2 linked regions of the Struthio camelus genome follow. Each later gene encodes a partner of the first gene's protein in a complex. Links are inferred from orthologs where the notes say so. Each region holds a gene or a part of one and is shown on either strand. Other genes may lie near its edges.

Region 1 (7,075 bases):
AACTGTACTCAAAGTCATCTGCTTAACTAAATGACCGACATAAAACCTGACATAAATTAAACTGAAACATAACTTACTGGTAAGGTTCCTGGTAAAGAAGCATCAAAGAAAGATACCAAGGAGTTAGGAGGTGCTGCAAACTGGACTTGGGAACCAGAAAAGAGTTTTGAATTTGAACTAATTTGCGCATGAATTTCCAGACCCACAACTGGTACCCAGGGAGCAAGACTGAAAAGGAAAAGGGAAATACAGTTAAAGCACAAATAACATGTTAACATCCATAAATACCTGAAAGATACAACAGTTAAACCTCTTCCTTTTTAACAACAACAAAAAAATCGTAATTATTAAAAATCATTGCAAATTTGGTTGTAAATCCATCTACCGTTCAATGGCAAAAGTTGCGCTACAGGACTGGAGACCAGAGACTAATCCACCATGTATACAGAGGGAAAATATGCGGTCAAGTGACTTTGCTATATACTGGAGAGAATGCTGTAATAAAACATAATGGTCTGAAACTTTTAACTCTTCCCTACATGAGGAATCTTACAGAACTCAATGAGGCAACTTGCATACTTGATGAACCCCAACTTGGTACTCCATGGAAATCATAAAATCATCATAAATACCAATTACTTCTCACGCAGTTTGATAAATCTCCAACAGACAGGTGGTATAAATTATATATTCTCGTCAGCTAGTTGCTTGCATGCTGGGAAAGGCGGCTCTCCAGAGCAACGTTAGTAGCATATTAGCATAAACATTAGTAATCTGGTAATAGAGAAATCATCATTTCAACTAGAGAGCTACTGCTCTCTGAACATACTGAAGAGAATAAAGCTTCTCCATATCATCGAAAAAGCAATTGCAATTTTCACATCCATAACCTTTATATGGACAAGAGAAAAGGGTCACCTTTACGGTATGAATTGCTTGACAGTTTCTGCAAGTAATTATCTGGCCTTGTACAAATGAAGTGGCACAAATAATATTTCAGTGATGAAATCACATTTCTCTGACAGGATACTTCAGCAATATAAGTACCCAGATAGCTATAGCAGATAAGTGAGCTATGGAGAAGCATTGAACAAATATATCACGAATAGTGTTCCTTCCAAAGGTGAACGTAATACACTGCCAGGATTTTAGTTCTGTGTCTGTCCTCCAACAGCTAAGGACATCCCTACAAAAACCAAACTAGTGATGCAGATATACATTGCTCCTTTAGGAAGAAGGATATTATCATAAAGGAGTAAATTTCAGATGTTTAAATGAGCTTTTACATTTTTTATTAAAACAAAAAACAAAAGCTCTTTAGCTATGTTTCAGACTATGGATCCTAAGGATCCAATCCCGATTCCAGCGCTTTCAATTAAACAAACCATGTATTACCATATGTATTAATAAGTTGGACACCTCACATAAACACAGTAGTCTACAAACGCAAGTTTTTGCAGGACTGCGGTCTAATTTCGCAAAGACAAGCTGCTTATCAATTCACTACAAAGCATATGGATGCTTTCTTAGACAAGATAAATGTGGACCAGGCAAAAAAAAAATATATCTTTCAACTTGGAATATAAGTTTTCATTATAAAAAGCAATAAGTATCTACTTTTATGACAGGAAAAAAAAACTTTGAAGTGTAAAAGGAAACATAAACTCGGTGTTTTTTTCTCTGCAATAGGCCTGAAACAATTCTGACCAATGTAAAAAAACGCATACTTCTCCAAATAGTAAACTAAATTTGAAACAAGTATGATGTAAGTGTTATAGCACTTCATCGACAATAAAAGCACTCAAGAAGTTAGGAAAGCAATCAACCCATAAGTTCTTGCACAACTTTCTGTTTGCTGTGTCTCTTTTTAGCACTAGAGCAAGGCAGCATATATTTAAACCACCTATTTAATATTTTGATTTCTGATCTTAGTTAAGAGTGACAATAAAACACATTGGATTAATTCGTATTTAATTTTGCTTAGTGCAATGCTCAGCTTGCAAATCCTGTTATTTTTTCAAATATTTTCAGTTACTTATAAAGGTATCTTAGAATTTAGAAGAGGATTTTTTTTATTTTTGCAATATCTTATTTTTCTCCCATCTTTTCCTACATTCCTTAGAAAAGCATCTCCTTCACATCCTGGTTTTAAAAATTGCATCAGACTTCACTTGCAAGCTGATGAGAATCCTAGAGTTTCTTGCCATGTTTGCTCAAGGTTTATTTTTATTTGTGTCTCCAGGGAATCAATCTAAAGAAACATACTTCTGCTGGTGTCTACACAACTTTACTTGGGTGATCAATTGTGCAGGGAAACTTGAATCTTGACAAACAGAAAACATGAAAGCTTGGCACAGGCCATAACTCTTTTCAACTGCAGTAGGAATAAAGTGCTCAGTTCTAGGCAGTGTTGTCAAAGTTGCACATTTCTCTGCTAGATAGGAAAGTTTCCCTTAGACCAGAAGCCCTCCTGAAAAATATTTATGAGCATTTGCACAGTCCTTGGTGCAAGCACTGTTTATATTTCTTACACATGAACACTAACAGTTTTTAAGTTGCTTGCGCTGTTCAGGACTCTTCTCAGAGACAAACATGCCAAAGGCACACAGTCACACTGCGAACACACTACTAGCATTTTACCAAGTTGGGGGGGGGGGGGGGGAGGAAGGCGAAGATAAACGTGCGCTGAGAACAGGCTGCCAGGTACCCCCAAGCCTCGTTCTCTTCAGAAGGGGGCATTCAAAACGGGCCGCGGCCGTTCCCGCCCCACGACGTGCTCGTGACACAGTAACCGACCCTGCAGGCCCCAAACGGCCGCTGCCCAGCTCCGCGCTGAGGGCAAGACGTCCCAGTGGAAACCTCCCCCGCGCTGTCCCGGCACCGTACCCGCTCTGCCCCGCCGGCGCCGCTCTGCCTCTCGCCCGAGCGGCGGCGGGAGCAGCAACACCCGCTGCACCGCGTCGCGACGCCCAGCACCAGACCCGCTCGCACCCTCGCGCTGCGGCCGCCGCCATTTTGCTTCGCTCTCGGCTGAGCCGCTCCCGCAGCGCCCCCTGGGAAATGTAGTCCGGCGCGCGGGAGCGGGGCGCGGAGGCGCGGAAAAGAAAACTACAACTCCCGCCGTTGGTGGGGCGGGGCGGGGCTTCTCGCGCCACCTAATGGCGGCGGCCGCGGGCGCGTGCGTTGGTTGTGGTATAGCAGCCGTTAGCGAGGCGAAGGGTGGGTGAAATGTTTTGTTGCTTCTCGGGCTAGAGGCGCGGGTTTAGCTGTAGGCCCGCACCTCCTTGCCTTCACCGGGGGCTGGGTGAAGACCAGCTCTGCTTAGCCTGTGGTGAACTTTGACCCCTGCCTTTCTTGCCCTCAGGGCTCTGTGTTATGGTGCCTTGTTGCTGGATAGGTATAGGCTTGGCTCTCTGGCATACTGCTGTCTTAGCCACCTCTAGGAGAGGTGTTTTCCCTTGTACAGAAGAATATGGCAGTGTGATGTATGAAGCTACTGCTCTGTAAGTTTGAAGGGGTTTCAGGAGCCTGTGATACTTGTTTCTACAGGTTCTGTGCCTGTCCTTAGAAAATTAACAGTCATCATAGAAAGCTACCATCTAGCATAGATGCTAGAGTGAAAGATGTTGTTTTTCTTTGTGTTTCTGTTAAAAGTTGTTTCAAATGTTTTGGGCTCAGGTTCTCCAAGGGGGCTCCATATGGCTTTTCTGTTGGTATCGTGCTAGTCCAAAACTAACTTATATTTCATAGATGGTGTTTTGCCAGTCTTGGGGGTCTAAAATCACCTATCTTTGTCTGTCTTGTCTTCTGCTGCTAAGATGGTACTGTTCAGGTGCAGCGTTGGATCTTAACTCTATGTACATAAGAGCAGTGAGGTCTAATCTCTGCAGGGCCTGGAGATGTTATTGCAGTACAAATACATGGTAATGAAGATCACTGTCCAGGGCATATGCAAACATCTCAAATGCTGTTTACACAGCTACGTTGCACAGACAATAGAATTAACATCCTTCTGTCCTAAACCACAGGCCTATGGAGCTTAAATGGGAATTTCCCTTAGCTGTTGCTTATGTCGTCTTTGCTTCATGTCAGCCGCTACTAATAGAAGTTAATCGGTCACAAACATATGAGTAAGACTGATTTCTTTCAGCAGAGGGCAGTGGTGCACATAGGCATTGTCTTATAACCTTTATACCCTCCTGTCTTCCCAGGCTCCAGTGTGGGATGCTGAGGGGTTCAGAATCATGTGTAAGGTGATTTATCCAATTAAGAAAAAGTTTTGTAACATTTGTTCCGTAGTTTTAATTTTTTAACATATATTTATTTTTTAAATGACTTAAAGTAACGAGAGGTTCCTCTATAAGAAGAACCAGTAGAGAGATATGTGTAGCAGATACTGATGTACAGTCCCTTGTACAATGTAATTTAGGGATTGCAGTTTATGGTATTCCCTTACTTGCAGAATACCCCTTCTTGTACCTAAGAGGATGACCAGGACAAAATTTCTTTGTGTTAAAGAAGAACTGACCATAGGCAATCTGAGACGCTTTTGGGAGAATGAAAGAACATCAGCGTGTCCCTTTTCTTCTCCTATCAGGGGGCTCTTAGACTGTCAGATACCCTAGTGAAAAGCCTATATAGCAATCTTTAACCTAATGGAATGGGTATATGATTTTGTAATAATTTCGGTATGAGAAAAACCACGTTGTCTTAATAGACGCTTAGTTGAACTTGGTAGGGCCCTAAGCCCATGCAATGTATTGCTAAGAAGAGTGCATTTCAGGCTGAAACTTTAGTATATTATTGTTATTTCTGCAACAAATTAATTCCTTTAACAATTGTCATCCATAAACACTGGATTTAATTACTATTTGATACTTTGTAGGGACTGGCAGATCGTATCAGCCCAGCTGTGAGGATGGCTTCTGAATATAACTCTAAAATATTTGCACTGGAGGAAAAAGGGTAAGTTTTGGATTATCATACTTTTTTCTAAGCCTGTTATCCTGATGTAATAAAAGATTTCATAAATAATCACTTAAGAAGTTAAAACGTTATGAATATTAAAATTATGTTACTTAAAGCCTTACTCTGCCTTGGTTGCACAGGCTTCTGCCCTTTGTGCATATTATTTAAAAATGGAGCACAAGGCATAGAAGGGTTGAAAGCCACTTTCCACACCCCATGCTATTCCCCAGGAACTTTCACCTGCATGGGTGCTGTCTTACTTACAGAAGAAGATTGCAAAGTGACATTATTTGTAATGTAAATTGTATCCACACTATTTTAATACCCTTCCCAGAAAAAAATCCCATTAAAAAGCCCTTTGCTTTGCAGCTGTGTGCCAGTGACCAAGTAGGTAATACATGAAAGCTTGCACATCCATATACAGGAAGCTGATCAATCACAGGCAAGCAGGGAATAATTGCCTTTCCCAGCAGCTTACTTTGAGGTAGAAGAGGCTGCTTATTTGTTCCTTGTGTACCCTAGGCAGCAGCATCCACTTTCCAGTGTGTTTATAGATCATGCTGTGGCTTGGAATAGCAAAATGTCTCCAGCACTGCATAAAGACTTGCACAATGGTAGTTCAGTACTAACTATGTAGACTCTCTCTTAGAGAGGGTAGACCCAGGGGACAGTTTGCTGTGAGTCTGAGTTTCTTATTACTATAGGAATTTAACCAATACCTGAGAGGAAATTGGAATTTTGTAGAGGACAAAAGCCCAACAGCGTATCATTTAAGCCATAAACATGCAGTCTGTCCCACTTATTTGAAAGAAGATCTCTCTGAATTTCAATTTATAGGGCTTGAGCTCTAACTTCTGCTTTCTTGCAAGCTATGTTTAGCATGCATACTTAGTCCTTTTGTGGACTGTGAGATCTCCTTTTGGTATAGCAGGGAATGGGGTATTCAGACCAGAGTGTTTGTTAAATATTTTGCAGGCTGCCTGCAGTATCTTATTTCAGCGTGTAAAATAAGGAACAGGCAGGAACCTCTGTTAGATTTTGAAATGGAGGGCGTGGCTTTTGGAAGAGTAGATCTGTGGTCTAGCAAATTATTATTACTGTCCTGCAGGGAATAATAGTTATTGAGGATTATTAAGTTTGGAAGAAAACTATGGTAAGGGATGTTTTCACACTTCTAGGCCCCTCTCATCACCTGTGTACTGTGAAAGCCTTTTTTCCTCTACAAGTGTAAAGAGGATAATATTCCTCTTTTCCTGCAGCTTTCAACTAATAAGGGCAATGATTTTCTGTATCATCCTGGACTATTGATCCAGCTTACCTAGCTACCAGCTATGGGAGATGGCAAATATTTAAAAAAAAAAAAAAAAAAGCCCCTGATTTTGCAGAAAGGAAAAGGATATTTTTCTTGAACGTGGGAGAAAGCAATTAGGGAGCTAATATAGCTGCCTTGCATGATCTGCTGACCATGTGTATGCATGCCTTCATTCTATGATAGATTGGGTAATATGAAAGGCCTCATGGTTTGTGGACTTTTGCACTGAAGTATGTTAATGTGCAAAATGGAATCGGTTTCTGTTGTCAGATAGGTAATGCCATTTTATTTTATTTCATAAAAGTAGTATTACTCATGACTTACCAAAAAGGTTCAGACTCAGTTAAAACTCAACTCAACTCAACTCAAAAGAATATCACAATAAATATATATGTGTAGTCAAATGCTGTTATACAGTAACAGACATACTGGAAAACAGACATACTAAAAAAAATGTGGAAAGTGAATTCACTATTCCTCAAAGGTTGTGTTGTAGGAAAGGATCTAAGTCTTTGATTCAGCCACTAAAACCACTCATACTATGGCTGTACTGTATTGATTTTTCACATAAGGAGAAGTAGTGTGTTTTGTATTTGAGCCTTACCTTTTCAGGGAGACTCAGTCTCACCCTTGGTAATTGCCCTGGAGTGCTGCAATGAGTCAGTATCTGCACCTGTGCTCTGATTCACATGTTGGTGATCCTGGAACCTAGTGTCTTGCTTGGGAGAGAGTGCCCACCTTGTGTTTATGGGTGGCGATCTGGGAGCAGAGCAGCTGCTGGGCTTACTGTGACTG
Region 2 (7,998 bases), on another chromosome or scaffold:
TGCCTTCTGTAACATCATCTTCTCTGAGATACAGACACCTGAAGAACAAAGAGTAGTAGCCTGTCTTTAAACTACAAAGTACAAAGGCTAGCACAGAAGTTGCGTGCAAGCACCATGGATCTGTTTTTTTTTTCACATCTCCATTATCTTTTAATGTTTCTGTTCAATAAGCTGTTGACATGTTAAGAAGTTCTTCCTTAAAGACGACTGGCAAATGAGTGAACAGTCGCAGCCTTGTTCCTGTCAGAAAAACTTAGTCTGTCAGGCTTTGAATATACCTAAACAATCACTAAACCGACAGTGAAACCTTGAAAACATCCCACGCCTCTTGACTTGGTGGTAGCTTTAGTATGGAGCTGGCCATACAGAGGCAAGTACGTCAGAGGACGTACATGTAGGACTGCATGTTTGCATGTAGGATTACTGGCAGCACAACTTTGTAAAAAGCTGAGCTAAACATGCCCTGTTAGGTTGTTACTAAAGTACAAAGCATTGAGTATCTCTAAAGCTGTTTTCAGTCTCAAGCAAGCAGACCAACAAGTACTAGGACACTTTGAAGCAACTTCAAAAGCTGTTGCCAGACACTGGGGGAACAGCACGTGCAGGTCCTTCAGGATAAATAGCAAGACAGCGCTAAAGGATTGGAGTGCATCTTTGCTGTGCTAACGTGTTAAGCTTGTGGGCACTAATCTGGCCTCTTTCTTCCGCACACCACCGCATTAAAGGCTTTCTGTAAGCAAAGGGGCCAAATGTATAGCTAGGATATTTCTGGAAAAAAGTTTTCAGAGCAAATACTTTGACAAATGAATAGTTCAAAGCAGGCCACTAACAGTGATTCCTCACCTGTCTTCTAGTACTGAATCCATTGGTTGTATTCCCTCTGTGTTTACCTCATGAAGCTGATCAGCAAACTGGATTGCTTTCTGCAGCCGCTCTACGCCCTCTGCGTTGCGGAAATCAACGAGCGCTAGGTGCTCCAAGTGATCCAGCACGGCCACCGTTACTGTTTCCTGTAAGAAAAGACACAGTCCCTTGCTTGGATCCTGGGAATAGGCTGCCACAGACGGATGGAAAAACGGGCAAAGATGAGTCAGTTCCAGATACTGTCGCTAACATCTTTGCTATGGAACAAGCTTTTCTTGTTTAGAAAATAACTGAGTTTACTTCTGTTAGAACATCTTGATTTCTTTTATTCCTTTCCCTTTCTGATGAAGTCACAGATCAGAATGGAAAATTGACTTTAATCAAGCCAGTCCTTCCTCCTTCTCCCCGTCACTGTCTGTGTAGCAGAGGACAAGCGGAAGAACTGGCACTTGTAAAGCTAATTCGGAGAGCCGTGGGGGAGAGCTGGCGAGGGGGCTCCAGGCCTGCGTGCTGCAGCTGGTTCTCCTCTCCACAAGCCCAGAGCCTCGTCGCACAGGGCTCGCCTCCCGACTGCGACAAAGAGCTGTTCCTGTGGACTTCAGCGCAGCTGTGACACTCCACAGCCACTGAAGATCTACCTGCGTGTGTCGCAGCAACCAGGGAGCTGTCGGCACCCTGCACACACGAGGTAAATGGATCTGTCTGCAGGGTGCCGTGAGTGCGGACACGCCGATTCCAGCTCTGCGAACTGAGGACGGGCTGTCCCGGGTGTCGGGGACAGCGGCTGTCTGGGGATGGCATCAGTGCCGGGTGTCGGGGCCGGGCTGTCCCGGGTGTCGGGGATGGCATCAGTGCCGGGTGTCGGGGCCGGGCTGTCCCAGGGTGTCGGGGACAGCGGCTGTCTGGGGATGGCATCAGTGCCGGGTGTCGGGGCCGGGCTGTCCCGGGGTGTCGGGGACAGCGGCTGTCTGGGGATGGCATCAGTGCCGGGTGCTGGGGCCGGGCTGTCCCGGGTGTCGGGGATGGCATCAGTGCCGGGTGTCAGGGCTGGGCTGTCCCAGGGTGTCGGGGACAGCGGCTGTCTGGGGATGGCATCAGTGATGGGTGCTGGGGCCGGGCTGTCCCGGGTGTCGGGGATGGCATCAGTGCCGGGTGTTGGGGCTGGGCTGTCCCGGGTGTCGGGGACAGCGGCTGTCTGGGGATGGCATCAGTGCCGGGTGCCGGGGCCGGGCTGTCCTGGGTGTCGGGGATGGCATCAGTGCTGGGTGTCGGGGCTGGGCTGTCCCGGGTGTCGGGGACAGCGGCTGTCTGGGGATGGCATCAGTGCCGGGGCCGGGCTGTCCCGGGTGTCGGGGCCGGGCTGTCCCGGGTGTCGGGGACAGCGGCTGTCTGGGGATGGCATCAGTGCCGGGTGCCGGGGCCGGGCTGTCCCGGGTGTCGGGGATGGCATCAGTGCCGGGTGCCGGGGCCGGGCTGTCCTGGGTGTCGGGGATGGCATCAGTGCTGGGTGTCGGGGCTGGGCTGTCCCGGGTGTCGGGGACAGCGGCTGTCTGGGGATGGCATCAGTGCCGGGGCCGGGCTGTCCCGGGTGTCGGGGACAGCGGCTGTCTGGGGATGGCATCAGTGCCGGGTGTCGGGGCCGGGCTGTCCTGGGTGTCGGGGATGGCATCAGTGCCGGGTGTCGGGGCCGGGCTGTCCTGGGTGTCGGGGATGGCATCAGTGCCGGGTGTCGGGGCCGGGCTGTCCTGGGTGTCGGGGATGGCATCAGTGCCGGGTGTCGGGGCCGGGCTGTCCCGGGTGTTGGGGATGGCATCAGTGCCGGGTGTCGGGGCCGGGCTGTCCCAGGGTGTCGGGGACAGCGGCTGTCTGGGGATGGCATCAGTGCCGGGTGCCGGGGCCGGGCTGTCCCGGGTGCCGGGGCCGGGCTGTCCCGGGTGTCGGGGCCGGGCTGTCCCGGGTGCCGGGGCTGTGCCGGGGGACAGCAGCTGTGCCGGTGCCGGGGGCCCCGCCCCGCCCCGCGCGCCCCGGCGCCTCGCGCGCCGCCGTACCTGCGGGAGCCGCCGCCCCTCCCGCGCGCCGCCGCCGTGCGCCGCCCTCGGCCCCGGCCCCGCCCGCAGCAGCCGCAGCGCGCGCAGCGCCCGCATCGCCGCCGCCGGAAGCGCCCGCGCCGCGTCACCCGGCGGCACTTGCGGCGCGCGGGAAGCGCGTCACGACGGCGGCGGGGGGCGGGGGGGTCGCGGGGTGCCGCCGCCATCATGAACAGCGTGGGCGAGGCCTGCACGGAGCTGAAGCGCGAGTACGACCAGTGCTTCAACCGCTGGTTCGCCGAGACCTTCCTCAAGGGCGAGCGCGCCGCCGACCCCTGCGGGCAGCTCTTCCGCCGCTACCAGCTCTGCGTGCAGGTGCGCGCCCGGCCCGGCGCCTCCCTCCCGTCCCCTCCGCAGCCGGTGCCGGCCGTCCCTGTCCTCCTGGCGAGGCTCGTCCGCGCCGGTTAGCGCGGCGCTCGCCGCCCCTTCCTGCGGCGGGCTCGAGGTCGCAGCCCAGCGCTGCTTCCCCGCGCCTCTTCGAGCACCTTTAGTATTACAGCTTTGTCCCGAGCCGTCCCAGCCTACTAATCCTTAGGTCTTGCTTTGTCCCAGACAACACATCATTTAGCGCGGTAAAGGTGCGTGTTTGTTTTTCTTCTCCCCAGAAAGCAATCAAGGAGAAGGACATACCCATTGAAGGCCTGGAATTCATGGGCCCAAGCAAAGGGAAAACGGAGAACTCCTCTTGACTTCAGCTCTTCCCGTGGAGTCACTAACATGAGCCTTTGGACTAAGGAACCTAACCACACAAAAAGACTAGATGCCACCTGGAAAAGGCCTTTGTTAAGCTGCTTTCTCTGTGTAGCCTTTTAGGAAGCAAGTACTCTGCTCTGCTTGTAAAAACACCACCACCACCACCCCGGATCACGTGGTAATTACTGCCCCCTTTTCGATGAATGTTGGTGGTGACTCAGCATCTAACTGTGAAAAGCCTTTTTAACTAACTTCCTATGTGAATGTACTCTGTAATGGGAGAATGCCTGTTAGGATGGGTTGAGTTACTGATCTGTAACCGATTTCTCTTGCTTATTTATATAACACGTCAGAACATTTAAAAAGAGCATGAAGGCGATTGGTTTACTTTGTCTCATCTCTGTGCTGCTGACTTGTGGAGAAAGGGGCTTGGTTGATATCCTGGATGCTGAGGGGCTACCACGTTGCTTTGTATCGATGCCAGAGATGTTATAAAAGCACTTATGCTCCGTGTGCAATATCCTAGCTAAAATAAATATTGATAACCAGGCTATATTTTGTTCTAGTAGATAGCTGTCCAGTAGAATCTGAGTATGACCTCAAAGAGATAGAGATATCTTCAGCAGAGACAGCCTGCTGAAGAGGAGCCTTTGATTGTGGAGGGTACTCCCCAGCCTTTTCCGAGGTACTGAAACAATCTGCAACTTGAATTTTCTTTCCTTTCATGTTGTCTGTCCCTGCAGGAAAACTGCAGCGCAGACCTGGCCGTCGTTCTACACGCTCTCCCACCAAGCCCCGGGTTGGCCATGATCATTGTTACACTTTTGCTCGGGGTAGCTGGAAGCGTGTATTGAATGAGGGCAACATTGGATTGAAGCTTGGCAGCTGATATGGTTAAAGCTCCAGCTGCCTGTCCTGCCTCTTGGGGCCGCCTCACCTGCTCGCAAAGCTGCTCCCGAACCACGTGTAGTTCGCACCTAGTAAAGCAAATTAAAATTGTTACCTCTTTGTCTCAATATGCTGTCTCGTAAACTACAGAAACAGATTAAGTTATTAATTCTGTAGTGGCAGTGACTGTGAAAGGGTGAGATGGCCGGCTAACTCATCAGATATCCCAGCTGAACGTGGTGTAGGTACATTAACTCCTTTGTGTAACACGACAATGACACTGGTTTTTGGTTTTCCTAAAACAGTTGCCTGAAATTGTCTGCCTTTGAATGGCAGTAGAAGGGCTGAGGAGGCTTCTCTCTGGAAAGAATGGAAGGTTCCTGATGACAGGTGTTTCCTTACGTGGTTGTGAAGAAGTCATCAGGAACTAGCCTTTTCTTCTCTCCAAATCCGTTTTCTAATTCCTCTGTCCCGAGACATTCAATGACAGAGCTTCGCTCCTCCTTGCAGGTACTAGGAAAATGAAGGTGTTCGGAAGAGGGGTGAGGGATCCAGACCGGGACCCACCCTGTCTCATCCAGGAGCCCTCAGAGCCTTGTGGCAGGGGAGATCTCCACTGATCCTCATATAGGGACGGGCTAAAGCTGTCCTCTCCTAGAACACCAGTACAGGTGAGGGAGTTAAAAAAAATCATTCTGAGCTGGGAATAAAAGAGAGAAGTCAGCTTTGTAATTCTGTTGGAAAAAAGATGAGCTTCATTCTTAGCTTTTTAAGGACTACCTGAGACATGGTTCAAAGCCTTTACTTTAAAACAAACAAAAAAAAATCACACAAAATAATTCATTTGCAGTTCTCAAACACAGTAGCTGGCTTGTCTGCGCTGCAGGTCCTAAGTAACGATTTCACATGCTTAAAATTAGCTTAGGATTTGTGCTGCATATCAGAAACTGCAGCATAGTGGGGCCTTCGTTCCCTGTGCCTTCAGCGATGGCCTAAACATAGCAGCTGTTGCGTGCTGTCTGCTCTATAGTCTGGTTTCAGCACACTCCCTTCTCAGGTGCGTTAGGCAGGTAGCTCAATAGGCTGTACAGTGATTATATGAAGCACTTAACAGCTTGTTCTGTGACACTTAAAAATTGCTGGGTCACTCAGGTATAAATAAAATTAGCTTTCTCTTATGGGAAATATGCTAGGGGAACATTCTATTCTATTAGAATAATATTCTATTTTATTCTATATTCTATTCTAAATAGCGTTTTGGGGACTGTCAAGTGTGAAACTTTTTTTTAAAGGAGTAACCTATACAACCACTTCACTTTTCCGTAATCATTTTCATACAGGAATAAATGTACTGTTATTTGGGCAGTTAACTTTACAAAAAACTAAGCCCATTAGTGCCTTGTTCTGTGCTTTTAATACAGAAGAATTTTAAAGTCATCCTACTGTAGTGTTCTGTTGAGCTACGTAGATGAAATAAATTATACTGAAACATGGGAAAAGGTGTCCTGCGGTGCCCACTTTAGAGCTTCTTACATTTAGCTCATTTACTCTCCATCACTCCTTTCAGCAGCAGGATGCCAAGTCAGCTGTGGTAGTCTTCCTTGGGGAAAAATTATGATAATAATTACAGCTAAGACATAAGTTCTCTCTGCGTTCTGCCATGCAAAAGAATATGGAAGTTGCAGAGGGAATAGGAAAACAGTTGACTTGTTGAGAGGAAACTCTTCAAAATTAATGCTGTATTGGGACAGGCAGAGAGCTTTAGACTTGGCTACTGACTTTGGAAAATAAAGTTATAGTCTCTCCTTGAAACGTTAAACTTTAACCTGCAGAGCCGAGTTGCTTCTCAGTGACACAGTGCATATTACAAAGATGCAGTGGAGCAAAAAGTGTGTTTTCATTTGCAAAGGCCGTAAGAGAGACTTTTGTACAATTAAACCACAACTATGCTCTTTGTAAAGCTGTGAGTAACTTATGTGCACTGCTTATAGCATACGAGGAAACTCCAGAGCTAGAGATTAATACTGTGAAATTGCACAGAGCTTAATTACACACCTTTGACTGCCGCCGCCTCCTGTCTCAGAACACGCTGGGTGAGAGACAGTTGCCTTGATGACTGTGTTAATAACATTTTTTTTTATTGCTGTAGTTGATTACACAGAATTTGCTTCAGTATACACTGAATTTTAATCTAGAGTGTTAGCCTAAAAACTGTTCATTTTAATGTGAGCTATGTGTTTACAGTGATCAGGTAGACCAGGCATCATGCATTATTTGCTTTCATACTCATGACAAACATATTGATTGCTAACATCAGTATTATCAGGTACAGCAGCAGGTGTAACACTCAGTCATTCAAAGCCCTTTGCTACTGCGCTATTGCTTGTGGGGGAGTGTCACCGTTTTAAGCAGAATAAACTTCTAAGGATTCACAGACTAACAAAAAAAAGTCAGATCCTGAATTCAAGTTAGGAGTTTTTATTTAAAGGACCTCTACGCAAGCACATAACAGAGGTCGCGACACCATTCGACTTGATAGTAGAAGGAATGCAGAGTTTCTTAAACGATGGTTCCCATACAACATTCTGGTCCAAATGCAGAAGGAGCCAAAGTTGTGGCTATGGTCAAGATCTTAGTTTTCGTCTTCATAACCAGTTGGGAGAGCATTAACATGGGGATTGTGGAATAGACTTTTGTTCCCATCACCCCAGGGGAAAGGCTGTTGAAAGAAGAAAGAAAATACGCCATTGGCAGCTAATGGAAGGCTCTACTACAGCACAGGAGATTAACTCTTGCAGCAGGAAATAGACTCAAACATCTCCCAGCTTGAAAGGCTGGTGAAATAAGCAAGCTAACATCTGCTTTCCAGGTTGTACAAAGAGCAAGGTGGAAAACAGTCTCCGTTAGCTGGTGACAGCTGTCTCTAGACAATAAGGTCATTGCCAGGACATCAAAGATCAATACTGTCAGGACCCTTGTTTTGGGAATCTGGGATCATAGGATCAGCTCTATTAGCCTCTGTATTTGTGTAAGGTAACTAAAGCAGCTCTGTGGCTGAAGCGTTTTCAGTGACGCCCCAGCAGGATTACTCTGGGGAAGCAAAAGGCTAGTTCTAGACCTGCAAAGGCGATGGGTACTTCAGCTCAGCTGTGAGACCCTCCGTTGCTGTCTCAGAAACAAAGTTAAAATCATGCCTATGTATGCAGCACCTCACTTTGTAGGTAAGAAAGCCACAGAAGCTGTAGTAACCTCAGATGAAGCTCTGCAGTCACAGGAAATAAGAAGGTCTTTGAACAGAGCACTGGAACATACCTTGGTCCTGATCCGGAGGTGAGCATAAGGAATAAACTCGGGTCTTTCATGCTCGTGCTGTCCTTTTAAGTAGCAGTTCAGCATGCAGACACCAACTCCAGGAAGAGCAACCACGAAGGTCAAGAGCTTCCACAGGCGGGCTAGTAAGCGAGAA

Evidence for each region.
Region 2: GATB (region 1) and GATC share a complex: the UniProt entries of both Homo sapiens proteins name them as parts of the heterotrimeric GatCAB amidotransferase (AdT) complex. The link is inferred for Struthio camelus from reciprocal best matches to the Homo sapiens genes GATB and GATC.

The regions. Positions count from the first base shown.
Region 1 is NC_090945.1:38,014,151-38,021,225, forward strand, and holds the start of GATB (glutamyl-tRNA(Gln) amidotransferase subunit B, mitochondrial), read right to left. Parts: upstream 3,074-7,075; 5' UTR 3,015-3,073; coding exon 2,887-3,014; intron 229-2,886; coding exon 78-228; intron 1-77. UniProt on the Homo sapiens protein: Allows the formation of correctly charged Gln-tRNA(Gln) through the transamidation of misacylated Glu-tRNA(Gln) in the mitochondria. The reaction takes place in the presence of glutamine and ATP through an activated gamma-phospho-Glu-tRNA(Gln).
Region 2 is NC_090958.1:7,928,195-7,936,192, reverse strand, and holds the start of GATC (glutamyl-tRNA(Gln) amidotransferase subunit C, mitochondrial), read right to left. Parts: upstream 3,009-7,998; coding exon 2,913-3,008; intron 1,011-2,912; coding exon 844-1,010; intron 39-843; coding exon 1-38. Other genes in the region: TRIAP1 (TP53-regulated inhibitor of apoptosis 1), read left to right, coding at 3,120-3,266, 3,557-3,640; COX6A1 (cytochrome c oxidase subunit 6A1, mitochondrial), read right to left, coding at 7,165-7,251, 7,845-7,984. UniProt on the Homo sapiens protein: Allows the formation of correctly charged Gln-tRNA(Gln) through the transamidation of misacylated Glu-tRNA(Gln) in the mitochondria. The reaction takes place in the presence of glutamine and ATP through an activated gamma-phospho-Glu-tRNA(Gln).